Linked DNA regions of Arabidopsis thaliana. The protein of the gene in region 1 interacts with the protein of each later gene in a pairwise test. Each region holds a gene or a part of one and is shown on either strand. Other genes may lie near its edges. The genes, in order: BHLH92, AT3G46600, GRF6 and LBD41.

Region 1 (4,438 bases):
CCGGAGATGATTGGACATTACTTGGCTGAGTTCTCAATCTCATACAAACCGGTAAAGCACGGTAGGCCTGGTGTTGGTGCTACCAATTCCTCCAGGTTTATCCCTCTCAAGTGAAGAAGCTACTTATCTCCATATCTATCTTCTTAGATGACTTTGATCTCATTTTTAAGTCTTAATTTCGATAATTATTTTGATGACTTTCTGTTTAACTCCACCAGGAGGGTTTAGATTTGAGTACTGTGTTAAATTATCTTATTTTGCTCCTCATTCATTTTACCAAATTTAAAGTTTTCAAATATTTGATAAATATGCAAAAAGTTTTGGTTGAAGGAGCTGTTTTCTTGTTTAGTTCCTTCTTGTTTTGACTCGGTAGGTGAAAGTTTATTATCCATTTTTGTATTTCCTATGACAAATCTATGGTCTTTTTTGGCGATTTCATAAGTAATTAAATAATGAACCACATGGTGAACAAGTGTATTTGCTAATAAGATAGTACTAGTTCACAATTATTAAGATTGTAACGCACAAATATATTAATCCCTATGTTCCTAGTTATTTAATGTTTTGAGTTGTTTACTTGTTCCAGCAACGTATTAAGTTGAAGAATAACATTGTATGTTTAAAAACTCTTACTATAGAGTGTACGTAGTAAATAGTATTGAATAATAAATAATAATAGCCAAAGTATTGAACTTTCCAATTTCTATTTTTCAAAATAAACTTTAATTGGGATAGGTTTTTATGCTGGTTTTAATCAAATTTTATGGTATTTTTTATTGATAAAATGCATTACATATTTACCAAATTATCTATCACACAATTTGCAAATTTTGGCACTATATATGGTTATATACTTGATAAATTTTCTATTATATTCTATCAATATTATTTTCTTAGTTTTATTTTTCAAACCTCAAAACTCAAAACTCAAAAGTAGTGTGCCCCATTATTTTTCTTTATGTGTGTCAATAAAGCAATGACCAGTTAATTTAAGTATTTAACTATATACAAATTTAAATACAAAAGAAAATTAATGACAGAAAGTCAACAGAATTAGTAGTCTTTGTAAAAGGAAGCTTCTGGGAGAAAGAGAAGTTTCCATTCAGTTTCCTGGAGTCTTCTTTCCACTCTCTTTTCAACCTCCTCTCCTCTAATCTGCCAAAAAGTTAACTTTAAATTTAATATCATCACACTAATACAGATCTAACTACTTAATTAAAAAAACATACAACCATCTACTTTTTTTTTGCTACTAACACAAAACAACCTACCTATTATTACCTTTATGTACTTGTCAAGTTGTCATAACCAAAGAGAAACCAAAACCGGATTCAACCAATTCGAATCGAATTAAATATGTACCTGAGTCTCGATGGTCATGGTCGCAGAAAACTCTTGAGGAGAGAAATTGGCATGGACTGTTTTCAGTTTTGTTCCCATTGATTTAAGATAATGAAGCGCTTCAAGCATTGAATCTAGTCCAGACAAAGGTTCTTTTAGATTAACCCTAACCTTTGTTTCACTCATTTCATCATGACCATCCTTTGCTGATTTTTCCTCAATCACTTTAATTCTTCTCACTAGTTCTTTCTTTAATCTTTGTAATTTCGCAATCTCATCCACGGCTTTTTCGACAATCGAATTTTTGTCATTCTGAAATAAAATGAGAATATAAGGAGAAATGATGGTCTTGAAACTTGTTTCGATATCAATCTATGATGTTCTTTAAACTTGTTTCTATATCAAAATCCTTAAGTAAAAGAAAATAGTGATAAAAGAAAAGATTCCAGTGCAAAAACTTACAAACATTTTATACAAATGATTGTAGTTGGAAATTTATCATACTCAAAACTTTATATTATACCTTACTCAATATAAATTTATAGATATTTAAGATAAGCTTCTAAAACCAGATCAATGCATGTAATTAAGCATACAAACATCAAAGATCAGTGAACAGACATAGTAGTCGAAATTCTGAAAATTTAGTATCCATGAATCTAATCCATTTCTACCGAATATCTAATTTTGTGTGCCATTTTGAACTGTAAAAATTCGGATTTTTGTTAGAACTACTATGATTTTCTTTCCAAGTCATTAAGAAAAATAAAGTTCGTTTCAAGTTTAATATTACACAAATAATCAAGGTACCTTAGTGGCAAATGGTAGTAGAGAATGGAGAGCTAAGTAACTCTGTTTTTGTTTCTCTCTTCTCGTCCTTTCTTTCAACATATGTCGCCGGCTTCTTTCCTTCTCTGGAGCCACCGTATTTTTCTTCTCCTCCCAATTCTTTCTCAGAAGATTGACCATTCTCTTCTTCACGTTCACCTTCGAAGAAGATATCTTCGGCGACATCATCCTCAGTTCCGTGTCCTTCATATATGACCTAAAGGCGCTTCTGATAGGTACACTGACGCTTCTATCACCCGAGATGTCGGCCACGATTAGATCCCAGAAGTTGTTTTCTTCTTGACAACTCAAACCTAGAAAAAAGTTATCCATCTTTCTCTCTTAGTGTGTTTGACAATCTTGATTTGTGTGATTTTTGATGTTGTCTTTTGTGTGGTGTGTCTATATACCTATTATGATTTAATCACGTGTGGTTTTGTTGATTTAACACACGTGAAACATATTGAGAACGTGGTCAATGAATAGTTTTCTCAGCTTCTTGGTTAGATGAAGTGACGTATATAGGAGAAAACCAGAGACAGTCAAATGATGTATCAAAGGTGAACTCTAGAGAAAGTCAAGTGACGTGTCTTGGCAACAAAATTTAGACATTACGTGACGCGTAAAAGCTATAACTATTTGTTTGTTTGTTTTCAAATTAACCAATTTTCTTTTTGAAGTTAAAGTACAAAATCTCCTTTGTGAGTTCAAAAAACACAACACCGTGGAGAAAAGAAAAGAGCCGGCCCTATACCGTTTTATCAAACCTTAGGGTTTAATAATAATAATTAAGTTCATCAGTCATCACAAGTGGAATTTGTGCGTGTGTGTGTGTGGCATTAGTTTATTCTTCGTCTAATTATTGTAACACATTAGTCATTGAGATTTTCTTTCCACGTATCCTAACTCTTGGGTGGGAAATTTCCTCGTGTGAATGACTTGACTAAAAATATTGACCAACTTCGATTATTTTATTTTCTGATAAGAGATTTTATCTTTACTACACTCGGATAATTGACCACTTCGATGGAAAATTCTTGCTTCTTCAACTTCTTTTTCTTTTACACTACCAACTTCGATTCTAGAAAACGATCTTTTTTAGTATAAATAACGAATTAAGTGATACTCAATTTAATGGGCTTGGGCTTTCTTAACTTCTCATGAATCAGTTTGACTTTCTCCTCTTTTCCCAACGAATTTAGGATTTTCAGAAGTTTCTAGAATCCAGAGCAACAATGGTGGCGAATCAAGTAATCTCCGGCGTTAAAGAAACCGCACAACCAATCACCAGCGCCGCTAGTCCATCGCCGACGCCACCACACGCGTCACACAAAACCTCACACATTTCCGAATCAATTTATCATCCTCTACTTCCTCCTAACCTTCTCTTTAATCACACATCACATCGCGGTTCTAGCATTCATCGCCGTTGGTTTAGCTTGGTACAATGTTACTTTCTCTACTTCGAATCGCTAGTGTTCGGAATTGCACAATTGAATTGGTTCACAATTTTAAAACCGGTTAACCAAATCATACATTTCAAAAAAAAAGCTGACACTGTAAACATATGATTACTAAACCGGTTTTCATGAGTCTAACCGAATGGACCGGCTATATGTACTCTTTTTCAGCTGACACTGAACACTGCTTCGATACGGCGAGTAAACTGTAAACATATAGCCGATCCTAAACATGTAACTGGTAACTTTCATGTACATAGTAGTAATGTAAGAAATTCGAAGACACAAAGACCTATTTACATCAAATGATTCTACATATACTCAGTGTTATTTTCCAAGTAAAGAGTCAAAATTCAAAGCATAGACTTCATTTTTTTCAGCGGGCTTCGGCTTCACTCTATTATCCTAATCATCTCCTGCAATAAGGACCCCCACAGGTTCATAACCATGCTCAAACAAAACATCTTATAAACTTGAGCAAAATCATGTCCTTTTTTCTTTTCTTAACCTTTCTTTTGGAAGCAAGACTCTGGCTTTTCTTTTCTTTCTTTTCACGGGCGCATTGACCGCACCAGTCTCGGAATTCGTTGTCATAAGTTTGCATCTCTCTGAACAAAGAGCTGCAAATGGAAATGCAGAAGAAAAGGTGTTTTAGTTGTGATCTGAAATCCTGAGGCAAGCTTCATGATTGCTTACTTTATGCACCAAAGAATCATATTGGCCCGACTACAAGATGTTATGGCGGCTTTTGCACCATGGCTGTGGCAGCCAAGGTGAAGTATAGCTTGACCCGGTTCATGACAGTACTC
Region 2 (4,723 bases), on another chromosome or scaffold:
AGAGAGGGATATGGAGATGGGGAGTTAGGTTACTTAACAAAATGGAAGATAAAGGATTGAAACCGCAGAGGAGACATTGGAACGCGGTTCTTGTAGCATGTTCAAAAGCCTCTGAGACCACAGCTGCGATCCAAATCTTTAAAGCAATGGTTGACAATGGTGAAAAGCCAACGGTCATCTCATACGGTGCACTACTCAGTGCTCTTGAGAAAGGGAAGCTATATGATGAGGCGTTTCGGGTTTGGAACCATATGATTAAGGTAGGGATTGAGCCAAATCTTTACGCGTACACAACAATGGCTTCAGTTTTGACAGGACAGCAAAAGTTCAATCTTTTGGATACCCTTCTCAAGGAAATGGCTTCAAAGGGTATTGAACCGAGCGTTGTGACTTTCAACGCGGTTATAAGTGGTTGCGCGAGGAACGGGTTAAGTGGTGTGGCTTATGAGTGGTTTCATAGAATGAAAAGTGAGAATGTTGAGCCTAACGAGATAACTTACGAGATGTTGATTGAGGCTCTTGCAAATGATGCAAAGCCAAGGCTTGCTTATGAGTTACATGTGAAGGCTCAAAACGAAGGGCTTAAACTCTCTTCTAAGCCATATGATGCGGTTGTTAAATCAGCTGAGACTTATGGAGCCACCATTGATCTTAATCTTTTGGGTCCTCGACCAGACAAAAAGAATAGACCTTAGTCTGACGAAAACACATTGTACAAGGTTACCGTGGGGTAAGGCGCATCCAAGGACCCTTAAAGGCAAGAAAATTGCCATTACAGGGAAGAAGAAAGTTTCCAAGTAATCACTTTCTTGTTCTTTAATACTCTTTTTAGTTTGTCTAGTCTCTCTGTTTATATTGTGAATTTTTATCTTCGTACAACATCTGTATTATCATCAGACACATTGATATGCAAACTGGTTTGTTCAGTTCAAAGTTATGGATCTTTTTGAAATAAGTTTTGAATTCTTGGTTTGCCATATGTACTTGCAAGAAAGTAGAGAGAAAGAGAGAGACTCATTCAATATATATGAGAGCAAACAGTTTCTACAACACTTTGAAACCAAAAACAAAGAAATGGAAAGCTAGCAAAATTATGCAAATGATTACAGAACTGTTTTATTACTTCTTAGCAGGTTTCCAGCAAGAAACAGCATAAAGGACTCTTCCTTTCCAGCCCTGAAACATCCAGTGGTTATCATTGTCGATCACAAAATCTTTGTGGTAACGTTCTTTCACTATCTCTTTCCCGTCCTTTACTATCTGTTTGCTTAGTTTCGCTGGTCTAAATCCTGCTCTTAGAATCCTAACCTGCCATTGCTTGTAGGTCTCTGGCCTTGCAAACCGCTCAGACCCTTCACAGGCTATCACACTCATTGCATCTCTTATGATTAGTTCCCTCTCCACCAGTGTCCTGCAATTGTCGTCTTCTGATAATGTGGTCTCATACATGTCAAAGAGTGACGAGCAATGGAAGAGAGCTTCTCTGAACCTTGTTAGGAAGAAGGGTGAATTGTAAGTCCCGTTAATCTCTGCAAACACAAAGAGGTCAGGGTTGATGTCTCTGAATAGTTTCAGAGCCGTGTCTCTCGGTGAGTTGAGGGACACGGTTTCATCAGGTGTATATTGTAGCCGGAGGATGCAGTTGACAACTGTTGTCTCGCCACTATTGATCACCAGATCATCAAGAGTTATGTTCTCCCAATTCTTGGCTATGAAACTGTACTCAAACGGGACATTGAACTTGTCACAGAACCTCTTTAGTCTTCGCCCGGTCTCTTCTACCCGCTCTGATGGACGGAAACCTGACTGAGGAAGCTCGATACCAGTCACACGGAGCAGTGGTGGTCCGATGTCACGTTTTGACAAAGCTTGTATCAGACAAGGCCATTGAAATCCATAGAGAATCCCAAAATCAATGATGTGAAGTGTGGTTGCTTTGGAAGCAAGCTCATTGATTGTTCTGTTTGCAGTGAAATAACACATTATTAAGGTGGGGCAAGCCTGAACAAATCCCTTGTACGCCTTCAAAATGTCCACCATTGATGTTCTGCTAGAAGTAGCAGATATTGGTGTAGTCATGGTTCCTGTAATACGAGCTTCAAGCGCCTCAGCAAAGTGATAACCAAGTCTTTGAGTCGCATCACCGTGGCGAGAAGAGTGTTCTCTTATCTCCTTCAGTTTCTCAAAAGCTCTTCTCTGGTCAAAACTCGCCACAGCTTGCGCGCATTGCATCAAAAGATTCCTCATATCTACTGGCTGATCTGACTTTTGCTGCTTGTATCGATTCGATGAGCCTTTTACGTGTCTTGTTTTCTTCTCTGTTGCTTCTCCCTGATCATTCTTTTGACATACCAACAACACTTCCTCAAACTTCTCTGCTAACTCATCCACCGTAGAAATCGCAGGGAGCTTCGATTTCCTTCCACTCTCAAGATCATCATCTTCATCATCATCCCTATGTCGATACCTTCTGGTTGACTCCTCTGAAACTTCAGGTTGATGCAAACTCGTTATAGAACTGAAGTTTCCAAGAGAACCATCCTCTAGATCACCCGAGATTGGAGTTTGATCTTGAAGCACTTCGAAGAAAGATCTCTCTGCGGCTTGTAAAGCCAAACTGTCTTCCAACATACAAGACTGACCTTCAAGATCTTCTTCCATCAACATGTCATTGATGTACTTAAAGACAGGAAGGTAATCTGAACATACCTTAGACTCGGTCGGAGAAGGGTTGCTCTGAGATTCAGATTCGTTGAAACAAGTGAAACGATTGGTCGTCCCAGATTCAAGATTGTTCCTCGGTTTGCAACAAGATCCAGAACCGGTGTCGAATCTGAACCCATCAACGGGTACTGGCAAAATAGCATCCATGAAACAGAATCTCTCTAGAATGAAGATTGAAACAAGAGTACTTTAGTAAGTCAACGAAAAGAGGAAATGAAAGAGAGTAGTGAGAAGTTTCATGTGAACACAAGTTGCGAGATGTTGTTGATATAAACAAAGGATAGGGTTGATATTTGTCTTATTTAATCTTTGTCTTGGCAAAGAAGAAAAATGAAGTTTCGAGGAAACAGAGAATGTGTGGGGTTGAAGATAAACACTAAGCCGCCACAAAAGGTTAGTAATAATATGTCCAAGACTTTATCTACTGTCGTGGGTCCAAATGGCTAAAAAGCTATTTGTTTTCTTGTTGTTGTCTTCCTTTTGGTCACTTGTCTGGTCAAATATTTGACTTATTAGTTATTACCTTGAATATATTTTCTAAATGTATTTAGAAATTTAGACTTTTTCTTTTTGTATAACGAAATATAAAACTTCGAAGTAAATTAAGTTTGTTTTGGTTCAGTTTTTTTTTCTACAAGACACAAGCAAATTTCAGTTTTTAAATAATAATATAGTAAATTTTATAATTTACTACAATATATTTGTTTGATAATTTATTTTGCATATAATACGCGTAAACTATTTAGTAGTCTGTTACCACATCACCAAAATTCCAAAAAAAAAACAAGATGTAAATCTTAATTGTATAACCTGTCCCTTGATTTTTTTTTTTTTTTTAAGTAGTGATTTTTAAAATTTAATGATTATTTATTATATATAAAAGTTTGAAAATTATACAATTCTCTAAGACATTAATATTTTATAATTTACAATTTTTATATAGTAACATTATACCATGAGACATTTTGGTTTTATATATATTTTTTTAAATCAGACTGATTTGATATGTATAATATTAGTGGTGTTAAAAAAAAGATTTAATATGTATTGAAACGGCAGATTAATGATATTTTAATTTGTTATTAATGTAGATTCAAAAATCCGTTCCGCAAAACCCATTCCAACAAAAACCCAGTTATTTTATTATTGTAAATATTCATTATATGATATGATTCTGAATCATTGTCTAAATATTTTAGTCAATGTGGAACATTAAACATACACATTATTTTGTCAATTGGGTAATACGTGTCCGTGTTTAAAATTAAAAATCACAATATATGTATAAAAAAAAATTGTTTTTTGATTTTATTTTATGTATTATATGACGATTTAAAACAAAATCAAATAAAAAGCATAATTTTAAATATTAATTAAATCTTCTAAATATATATAATATGGTGTATATTAGTTAAGAATCATAATTTTCTTGCTGCGTCAAGTTGCTAAATATATTAGTTTTAAATCGGTAAATATATCAGTCATCATAACTTCTAATAAATTGAACGTTATCCTCTATTATCTCGTCCAGGTCCAAATGTAAACTTCAATATCCTTTTGATTTTATTGCTAATTGCTTTAAATTTTTTCACAAACTCCAATATTCAATGAAAGGCAACAGTTCAGTGAAAAAAAAAAAAAAAAAAGTGGGAAGAGCTTGCCTACTCAATGCTATCTGCAAATATTTGCGAACTTTAGTTCAACATCGACTTCTTTACTGGTTAGAGATCCAGGATTTTGTGCCTTTGTTTGTGGCTATAGCCTTTAAAAGAGGCTTTGAGACCAGCTTATTACTCTGAACGACCCGTATTTAAGGTAAATACCATAGCACACATACCACTCACAAGCACAAGCTTCTGTGTATTCTTTCCTAATATAGGACACATGTGAACCATAAACTGACCAAACATAGACCAGCTTGAGTAACAATTTATCCAACAATTGAATTCTCCAGCACTCCTAGAGTTTGGATGAGGTATATATATATCAGTTCGTTGTC
Region 3 (4,137 bases), on another chromosome or scaffold:
GATTAACCGTCTAACTGGACGGTACGAGTCGGCCGTAAAAACACCGGTTGAAACAACTTGATACGTAGTCAATGGTTAATGAAAGCAAAATAGTAAACTAAAAATAAATAAAGAAATAAAAAATACAGAAGAGTGTTGTCAGAAGGAAGTGGAAGAGTCAGAAACGTGGGTGTGTGTGTGTGTGGTCTTGAAGGATTTGGTACTGTTTCTGCAGTTTCTTCTGTTCCCTTTTACTTTAATTTTTCTTTTGGGTTTTTAGGTTTCATGTTGCTCTCTCTCTCTCTCTCTCTCTCTGTAGGATCTCTTTCAACTTTTCAGAACATATTGACTGCAATTATAGTTTATAAGCAACAAAATTACACGCACACACAAGTATAATTTGCTTTATGTCATGTACTCATGTGTGTGAGTGAAGAAATAATAATTCAGTTTGATGAGAATAAGAGAAGTCGTCTTTCTCTCTCACTGAGTCAGAGCAGAAAGCTTTTGATTGGGTGTGTGGCTTTTTCAGACCTGACCAAACTCAGTCAGGGAGCAGAACTCAACTCAACTCAATTGCAAAACCTGTCTTTTTTTTACTCTTTTCTTATTTTCTTCATCATTTTTTTCTATAACATAACCTTTAAGAAAAATTATTTACTGTTTTAATTATAAAAAAAAACTATTTACTATCCACAGTAAATAGTTTAATGAACAAGTTTCTGACAAAAAGAATCAGAAATAATTAATTACAGAAACATGAATTGATAAATTTGTTGCTAATCAATGACTTAGTGACATCGTACTATCACTAATATTGACAAGAGATGAGCAGAAACAATTTAAACATTGAAACCAAACTAATATAACTACTTTACACAAGTTAAATCTTTTATGCTAATATAATGCATGGATCACAAAAAGAAACTCCTAATTAAATTAGACAAAAAAAGAGAGAATTTGCATTACCATCTTAACAAGAAATACAAGGTTATAAGAACAAAAGATGATCAAATGAAGAGTGAAGTAGAAACAGAAGATTTAGAAGAAGGCCATTCATCAAGAAACCTATAAAACCTCTTGCTTCCTTGCTCTTCTTCATTATCATGATCTCTTTGTTTCAGCTTCTCCTCTAACATCAATGGCCTCTCACGTGTCCTCAAGTCAGTACCAAGGATGAAGCAATGTCGATCCGGCTGCTTCTCCTCGTTGTTGATGCCTCTACATGAGCCATCATCATTATCTTCCATTGCTGAGCCAGAGCAGCTTTTGATTGACCCGGAAGGTTCTATGGAGAAGAAATCATCCATGTATCCACTTCTTCTTCTTCTACTTTCAAACATGTTTTGAAGATAAAAAATAGTCAATCATTGTGTTGTCATTAGAGTAAAACAGAGGAGGAAGGTGTGTTTGAAACCTGGAAGAAGAGTCGAGAAAGAGATTTGGAGTGAATTGAGTAGGAGGAGGCTTTCTTGAGGAAGAACGGTTCTTGCCTCTATGCATATGTCTCTCACAGTACTTAGAGTCAGGGTAAGCTTCTTTAGAGCATCTCCATTTCTTGCCATCAGTTCTTCTACATCTTCCTGGCTCTGCATCTATCTTTCTTCCCATTCCCATCTCATACACATTCCACCCAACTGAAAAAAAAGAGTCAAATTCGTTTACATTATCACCAAACCCTAAGGATAACCATCATAGAGCACAAAGCAAAGAAGATAAAGTGTGCTTACAGTGTGGAGAAAGAGTGGGAGAGAAGAAGCTTGAAGAAGAAGATGAAGAAGAAGAAGAAGAGAAGAGAAAGGGTCTTTTGATGAGGAAGAGAAGATGAGGTGGAACAGGCATATTTGCAGCTAAGTACTTGAACACAAGAGCTTGGTTTTCAAGTTCTTCCCATTGTGATTCTGTGAATGGAATCCTTGTAGCCATGAAGAGAGAAAGAGAAAGAGAGATGAAGAAGAAAGAGAGATTAAAGATTGGGATTTGTATTGGAAAATTGAAAGTGTAAGAGAGTAGTAGGTATGTTTTTATTGATAAAGTGTCCATTGGTCACCTGCAGTCTGCAGAATCTCTGTGCTTCATGTCCTCTTCTTGTTTATTATTCCTTTTTCTTATTTCTTAAAATTTTCTTTTCAGCTTTAGTTTTGGTTTTATCTTAAGCACCATTTCAGGTTTTTCTTTTCCTTCTTAAAAGCTAAATTTTGTGACAAGGGGCATAGATAACTTATGTTTAATTTATTTACGTATTATATTCAGGAGTTTGTAACTTTTGTTTGCGTTTAGAAAAACGAGAAAATTTGGTAACCGAAAAGAGAATCTACCAAGTTACATACGTATACGTAAACAATATCCTTCGGGATTGACTCTATTAAGTTCTAATTATTTTTGGTTGACAAAAAAAAAATCTAACAAGTCATGAAACTTAAGAGGTAAAGTTGTGTACAAAATAATAAGACATTAAAAATTTCAGCTCTAATGTTGGGTTGTTATGATATCTTTTGAGTCATATAACTTATATCTCAAACTTTAGTATATGTGAGAAAGAAAAAATAAGAAAAAAAAAATACTTATTTGTGAAAGAAGCTTGAATTTAACCCTACAATATTTAAGATGTTTTTAGCATTTATATTCGATCCTAAATATAGTAAGTAAATAGCCAAGTGAGAGGATTTATGTCCCTCTTCTATTCTTCTTAATGTTTTAACTATAAAAAAAGAAACATGTAAGCATATTGCAACTATTACAAAGATCGTTATAAAGGTTTAGCTAACCACAAAGAACATTCTCTTAATCATTCATTATAGTATTAGAAAATAAAATGAAAGAAGTCCAATTGTAATGAGTTTATAAATTTTGAATTATACCAAATCATTATTTTTGTTCTTCAATCAAATAAACCGTATCGTGTAATGTGACATCTTTGGTTAGATAGACGACTCGTAGTACTCGTAGCTCCAACACATTCGACATTTATAAAATTAAGTGTACACGGTCCACTTGTGTTAAAAACACTATGCATGAATAATAAATTGTTTTGAATAAAAAATATTTATGAGAATAGAAGTAAAAAAGTTTGAGAGAGAGAGAGGGAAAATAATGAGTGAGTCTGCAAACTCTGAAAACTTCTGCACTCTCTGCGACTCTTCCCTTTCACAGCTCTCACTCACTCCCATACACACCCATCACTCATGCCACATCTCTTTCTCCCTCTTTTATTTTTGTTTTCTTTTGAATTTTTCTAAATTATTTTATATTTCTCAAAAGAAAAAAAACTGTGATTATTTTAATTATCTTTTTTCTTTGTTAAAGATTATTTTAATTATCAAAATTTAAAATTTTGTTCATGCCTATGTAAATAATTCATTTGAAGTCGGTCATCAAATGAAGTTAGACCCAATGCATTAACAGATGGTGGGGGTTTGTGAAAAAACCTCAGAAACTTACACTTCATAAAAACATGATTTATTTTCTTAGGAAAACCTCTAATACTAAAAATACATCTAAATTGATCATATAAATCATGTTTTTTATCCAAAAATATATAAGGTTGATAAATTAACTATATTTAAAAAGACTATATTTGAGACGTAACGATTTAAAAATATTTAGGCAGTTTTTTTTGAAAGATTAGAAACGATTATGTTGAAGTTATAAATAAAAGGTGTTTCACATAATACATACTCATAAATAAAGTTAATAGCATCTTAATCGTCTTCAATTTCTCTTTTATATATGAGACCGATTAATTTCCATGTAAAGATTATTTAATATTGACGGGAAGCAAAACATAAAGAACACTAAGCACATTAACGATGTTACTTAAAATTTTAAAAAGGAATATAAACAAACTGTTTTATTTGGGTAATTATGATTACTTTTTTCTTCATTTATTTATATAGAATTAAAATACTTACGGAGTCGGAACCTCTAGGAATAGCAATCACTATGCCTAAACATGAATCAAGTTCGCAAGCGTCGAATTTGAAAGGTTGAAACTTTGGAAATCCACCAGATTAGAGAAAAACTCTCTGCTTTTATTAATTAAAATGATAAAACGTGTCGAGCAAAAAACTTAGGGTCTTTCTATATATAGAGAAGAAACCAAATCATAAAATAGAAAACTCTAAGCAAAATAGAAAACTTGAAATAAGGAAATATGAA
Region 4 (4,194 bases), on another chromosome or scaffold:
AAAGTGTACATAAAATCCAGACTCAAAGACTCCATTTTTTGAAGAAGTATATATAGTTTTGCAGAAGAAGAGGAAAAGGAAGATTAACGATCGCTCAAGCTTTTACCGCAGTTTTCTGTGATTATGATGAGGTTCAATGTTGTGTATATATATGTATCTACCGTAATTAAGAGGTAAGGTCGAGACTTTATGTGTTAACTTCTTATTTCTGAAGTCTCGTTGTAACATATTAAACCAATTTGGGAGTGTTGTTCTCTTTTCTGTGTATAATAACCATTCTTCTTTTTTGGAGATTCTCAAGTCTTTGTAAATTGTAATCTTGATAAATTCAAAATGCTTTGTATTATTCGAACAAGCTTCCGTCTTTAGAGATTCTAATTGTCTTGTCTCTCTGGAATGGACAAGAGAAACGAAACGGAAAATAATGCGAATGAAACGGAGCCATCAGCGTTGACTACGTAACTTGACACTTACGAATTACGTACGGTCTATTCAACGAACGAAGATTCCTTCAATATTGTCGTGAACAAGAACACTAATCTCATGGACGCATTAAATGAATGGAAATAGTATTTGACTAGTTAATGTCGTTTAGAACTTAGTAAATTTTGAACCAAACCCATGGATATGAATTGCAGTAGAATCATAATACCAATCGGAAATACTAGTTAATTATTTTTTACAACTCATTAAATTTTGAACCAAAGACATGAATATGAATTGATGTATGAAACGCTACATTTTTGTCTTTTTGCTACGTGGTTTGTTGTTAAATGTACATGTTTTTTTAATAGAAAACAAGGATTTAACTCACGGTTTACCGCGGGCAATCGGTTTATTTGGTTTTTATACTAAATATTTGAGTAAATTTGATATCCTAAACTTATAAATATAAATTTTTTAATCAAACATAACTAAAAAATAATTTGGATTTTTTTTGTTGTTATTTAGTGATAAGAAGAATGTGTTAAAATGTGATTAAATTTTTTTTGCTTGTTATTTATTTATTTTTGTTGAACGGTTTAGATTGAAGGGAATTAATTTTATTGAACGGTTTAGATTTAATCGAATCATATAAAGTTTAGAAGATTGTTAAGACCAAATTACCCTTAATGATTTTGAATAACAAAGAACAAAATCCAAATTTGAAATAAAAATTAAGATCAAATTAGACAAAATTCAATTTGTACTTCCCTTATAATAATAAGAGGATACATAACAGAATCCACTAAACTCAAATCAAATGTGCTACAAAATGGGTCTCACAATATTGTAATGTAATCTGGTACAAAGTTAAATTTAAGTGGATTACGTAAGAAAGAATATCAAAGCTGAGTTTTGGTTGTCTGGATTAAACTATAAGGTGGGGAAAATAAGAATTAATCTAAAGGTGATTAAAGATAAAATTTATTAAGTAAAAGATGATTTAAGATTACGTTTTTTACGAAAGCGTCGGCTAACAGAGAGAGTCACAAAGATCCGCCCACAGGGAGAGAAGAAGAAAAGATCAAAAACCGGAAACCATAAAACCAGAAACCAGTCAATAGTTTTGGACATAGTTGAAAGCAGTATTGTTAAAACAGATTCTTTTCCAGAAAACCAGGAGCTAAGTGTGGGCCCCAGTTCTTCCAAATGCTCCTCAAATGACTCAAATCCCATCTGGATGACTTACGTGGCGATTCGACCAAATTTCTTACTCGCGAGCGTGGAGGCCACGTGTCTTATCACAGTCTCTTCAAACACATTTAAGACAATTTAACCAAAATCCTACTCCATAGATACTCTGAATTGGTCAGATACTTTAATCAACAACCATATTAAATCGTTTTAGAACGAATTAGATTGTATAATCCAGAATTTATAGACTATTCACTAGTAATTAAAAAATGGTAACTTGATATGTCACGTGTATGACACGCGCATTGGATAGAGTGGGGACAAAAACATAACTTGGGGAAGAAACACAAGAAGCAAAACCTTGAATCAGGGTGAAGAAAAACAGCGGCGGTTCTGGGAAAATAAAGGAAGGATTTTGTAATTAAAAGACAAAACAACCCTTGTCTTTAGAGAAAAACAGCTCTTCTTATCTTGTTTTCTTTGTCTTCTGCCTTCTTCCCTTGGTTTTATAATCTCTCTCCGCTTCCCCCAAAAATCCAGGGGCTTCTTACACGCACACAATCCTTTAAAGCTATCGTCTTTCTTATATAATCAGTGAATCTTCATTAACACCTCCCACAAAATCTCAGAAATAACTTTCACAACAGAGTCAAAGAGTTCCAAATCGTTTGTTTGTATTTTGTACGATCAAAGTTGTTGGTACTTGTAAGATAATCGAAACCAAAGATGCGGATGAGCTGTAATGGATGCAGAGTTCTTCGGAAAGGGTGTAGTGAGGATTGTAGTATAAGGCCGTGTTTGGCTTGGATCAAATCGCCTGAAGCGCAAGCTAACGCAACTGTCTTTCTCGCCAAGTTCTATGGCCGTGCTGGACTCATGAACCTCATCAACGCCGGTCCCAATCACCTTCGTCCTGGTTAGTGGTTTTTCTTTTAACCTTTTGATGGCAGTTTTGAATTATACTTTCCAACGATGCCGTTTCGTCTTAGGTCATTTTTTGAACCTAATTAGATCAAATATTTTTGCAGGGATTTTCCGATCGTTGTTGCACGAAGCTTGTGGGAGGATTGTGAATCCGATCTATGGTTCGGTGGGTTTGTTGTGGTCGGGGAATTGGCAGCTTTGTCAAGACGCCGTGGAGGCTGTGATGAAAGGAGAACCGGTCAAAGAGATCGCCACAGACGCTGCGACGATCGGCCAAGGTCCGCCTCTTAAGATCTACGACATCCGACATATCTCCAAGGATGATAACTCTGCCGCCGCGGCTACTGGCTCAACCGATTTGAAACTTGCGAAAACTCGCCGTGCTAAGCGGGTCTCCACCGTCGCGATACAGGCGGAATCGGAGGGAAAGTCTGACGAGGCTAGTCACGATTCGTCGTTGAGTCATCAGTCTGAAATAGTGGCTGCTCATGAAGGAGAGAGCAAGGAATCCGAGAGCAATGTCTCTGAGGTTTTGGCATTCTCGCCTCCGGCTGTGAAGGGCTCCGGCGAGATAAAGCTTGACCTAACTTTAAGGCTCGAACCGGTGTCACGTGCGTATCATGTGGTACCTGTTAAGAAGAGAAGGATCGGCGTGTTTGGCACGTGTCAGAAGGAGAGCACGTGTAAGACTGAGCTTATGCTCTAAGCTCCGTTTTAGCTATACTCAGAAGTTTTGCCCCCATCAGCTCTATTCGGCTCGGCTCTGATGATCTTCAAGTCGAGCCGGTAACTTTTTTTTAATATATAGTTCTCTATTTCCCCCTTTAATGTTCACTTTCCATTTGTGACAAAAGAATAGAGTATATGTACAAAATTATTTACAGAGATTAATTCAAGAATTGGCTGAGATATTATCTATTTTTTAACGAATAAAAGCAAAAAATTTATAAAAAGAAAGTTGATTTATTTCTAAATATTATGGGCCTATCTGCTATCATTTAATAAGTGATATTTTGGGCCTATCCTTTCACGACTGTATTAAGGAAATTGTCAATACCACGTGGCATATTTTAATAGGATAATGGCGGCTGACCTGGCAGAGTTGAAAGCACAAGCCATGTGCTTCGGGTGTGATCCAGTGGAGATATCGAGGGAACGCAAAGGTAGGGGCCAGATTCTGTAGTACCTTCTTCGCCTACCTACTCTCTTTCCCGAATTTATTTGCCGGCGGTGATCAATCAGAACGGGATTTTAGCCTGAGTAATCGGTCACTGGGAAGAGAATTTCGACGGTGAGAGAAGATGAAGATATTTGTGAAAACTCTCAAGGGGACTCACTTCGAGATCGAAGTAAAACCCGAGGATTCGGTATGCGAATTTCTACAGATAGTTTCCTTACTTGTCAATTGAGACTGTTGAATTACGTATCCGAGGAGGTTTCTCGATCGAGTTTATTGTTCTCTCGGTAGAGTCGGTTTTCTCAATTAAGTTTCTCGATCGAGTATTTGATTTGGTCGATTTTAGAGGTTTCTCTGTTCTTTCGTGATCTGAGAGCTAGTTCTTATAAGTGGAATGTGGTAATTTGGAGGTTTCTAAAGAGAATTTAAACAATTCAGCAATCTTTGTCTATGGGTTTGTTTGGCCATCTTTTTTA

The links.
Region 2: the proteins of BHLH92 (region 1) and AT3G46600 interact in a two-hybrid assay, tested with the Arabidopsis thaliana proteins (one large-scale study listed by BioGRID).
Region 3: the proteins of BHLH92 (region 1) and GRF6 interact in a two-hybrid assay, tested with the Arabidopsis thaliana proteins (one large-scale study listed by BioGRID).
Region 4: the proteins of BHLH92 (region 1) and LBD41 interact in a two-hybrid assay, tested with the Arabidopsis thaliana proteins (one large-scale study listed by BioGRID).

The regions. Positions count from the first base shown.
Region 1 is NC_003076.8:17,532,257-17,536,694, forward strand, and holds BHLH92 (basic helix-loop-helix (bHLH) DNA-binding superfamily protein), read right to left. Parts: upstream 2,541-4,438; 5' UTR 2,503-2,540; coding exon 2,152-2,502; intron 1,654-2,151; coding exon 1,363-1,653; coding exon of another isoform or gene 1,351-1,362; exon of another isoform or gene 1,156-1,350; coding exon 1,054-1,155; 3' UTR 874-1,053; downstream 1-873. Other genes in the region: AT5G43640 (Ribosomal protein S19 family protein), read left to right, coding at 1-114; AT5G43660 (2-oxoglutarate (2OG) and Fe(II)-dependent oxygenase superfamily protein), read right to left, coding at 4,081-4,249, 4,326-4,438.
Region 2 is NC_003074.8:17,156,196-17,160,918, reverse strand, and holds AT3G46600 (GRAS family transcription factor), read right to left. Parts: upstream 2,996-4,723; 5' UTR 2,872-2,995; coding exon 1,120-2,871; 3' UTR 954-1,119; downstream 1-953. Other genes in the region: AT3G46610 (Pentatricopeptide repeat (PPR-like) superfamily protein), read left to right, coding at 1-695. UniProt on the Arabidopsis thaliana protein: Probable transcription factor involved in plant development.
Region 3 is NC_003071.7:2,424,108-2,428,244, reverse strand, and holds GRF6 (growth-regulating factor 6), read right to left. Parts: upstream 2,070-4,137; 5' UTR 2,023-2,069; coding exon 1,710-2,022; exon of another isoform or gene 1,617-1,709; coding exon 1,397-1,616; intron 1,309-1,396; coding exon 990-1,308; 3' UTR 922-989; downstream 1-921.
Region 4 is NC_003074.8:535,800-539,993, reverse strand, and holds LBD41 (LOB domain-containing protein 41), read left to right. Parts: upstream 1-1,867; 5' UTR 1,868-2,343; coding exon 2,344-2,533; intron 2,534-2,645; coding exon 2,646-3,247; 3' UTR 3,248-3,494; downstream 3,495-4,194. Other genes in the region: RAD23C (Rad23 UV excision repair protein family), read left to right, coding at 3,843-3,908.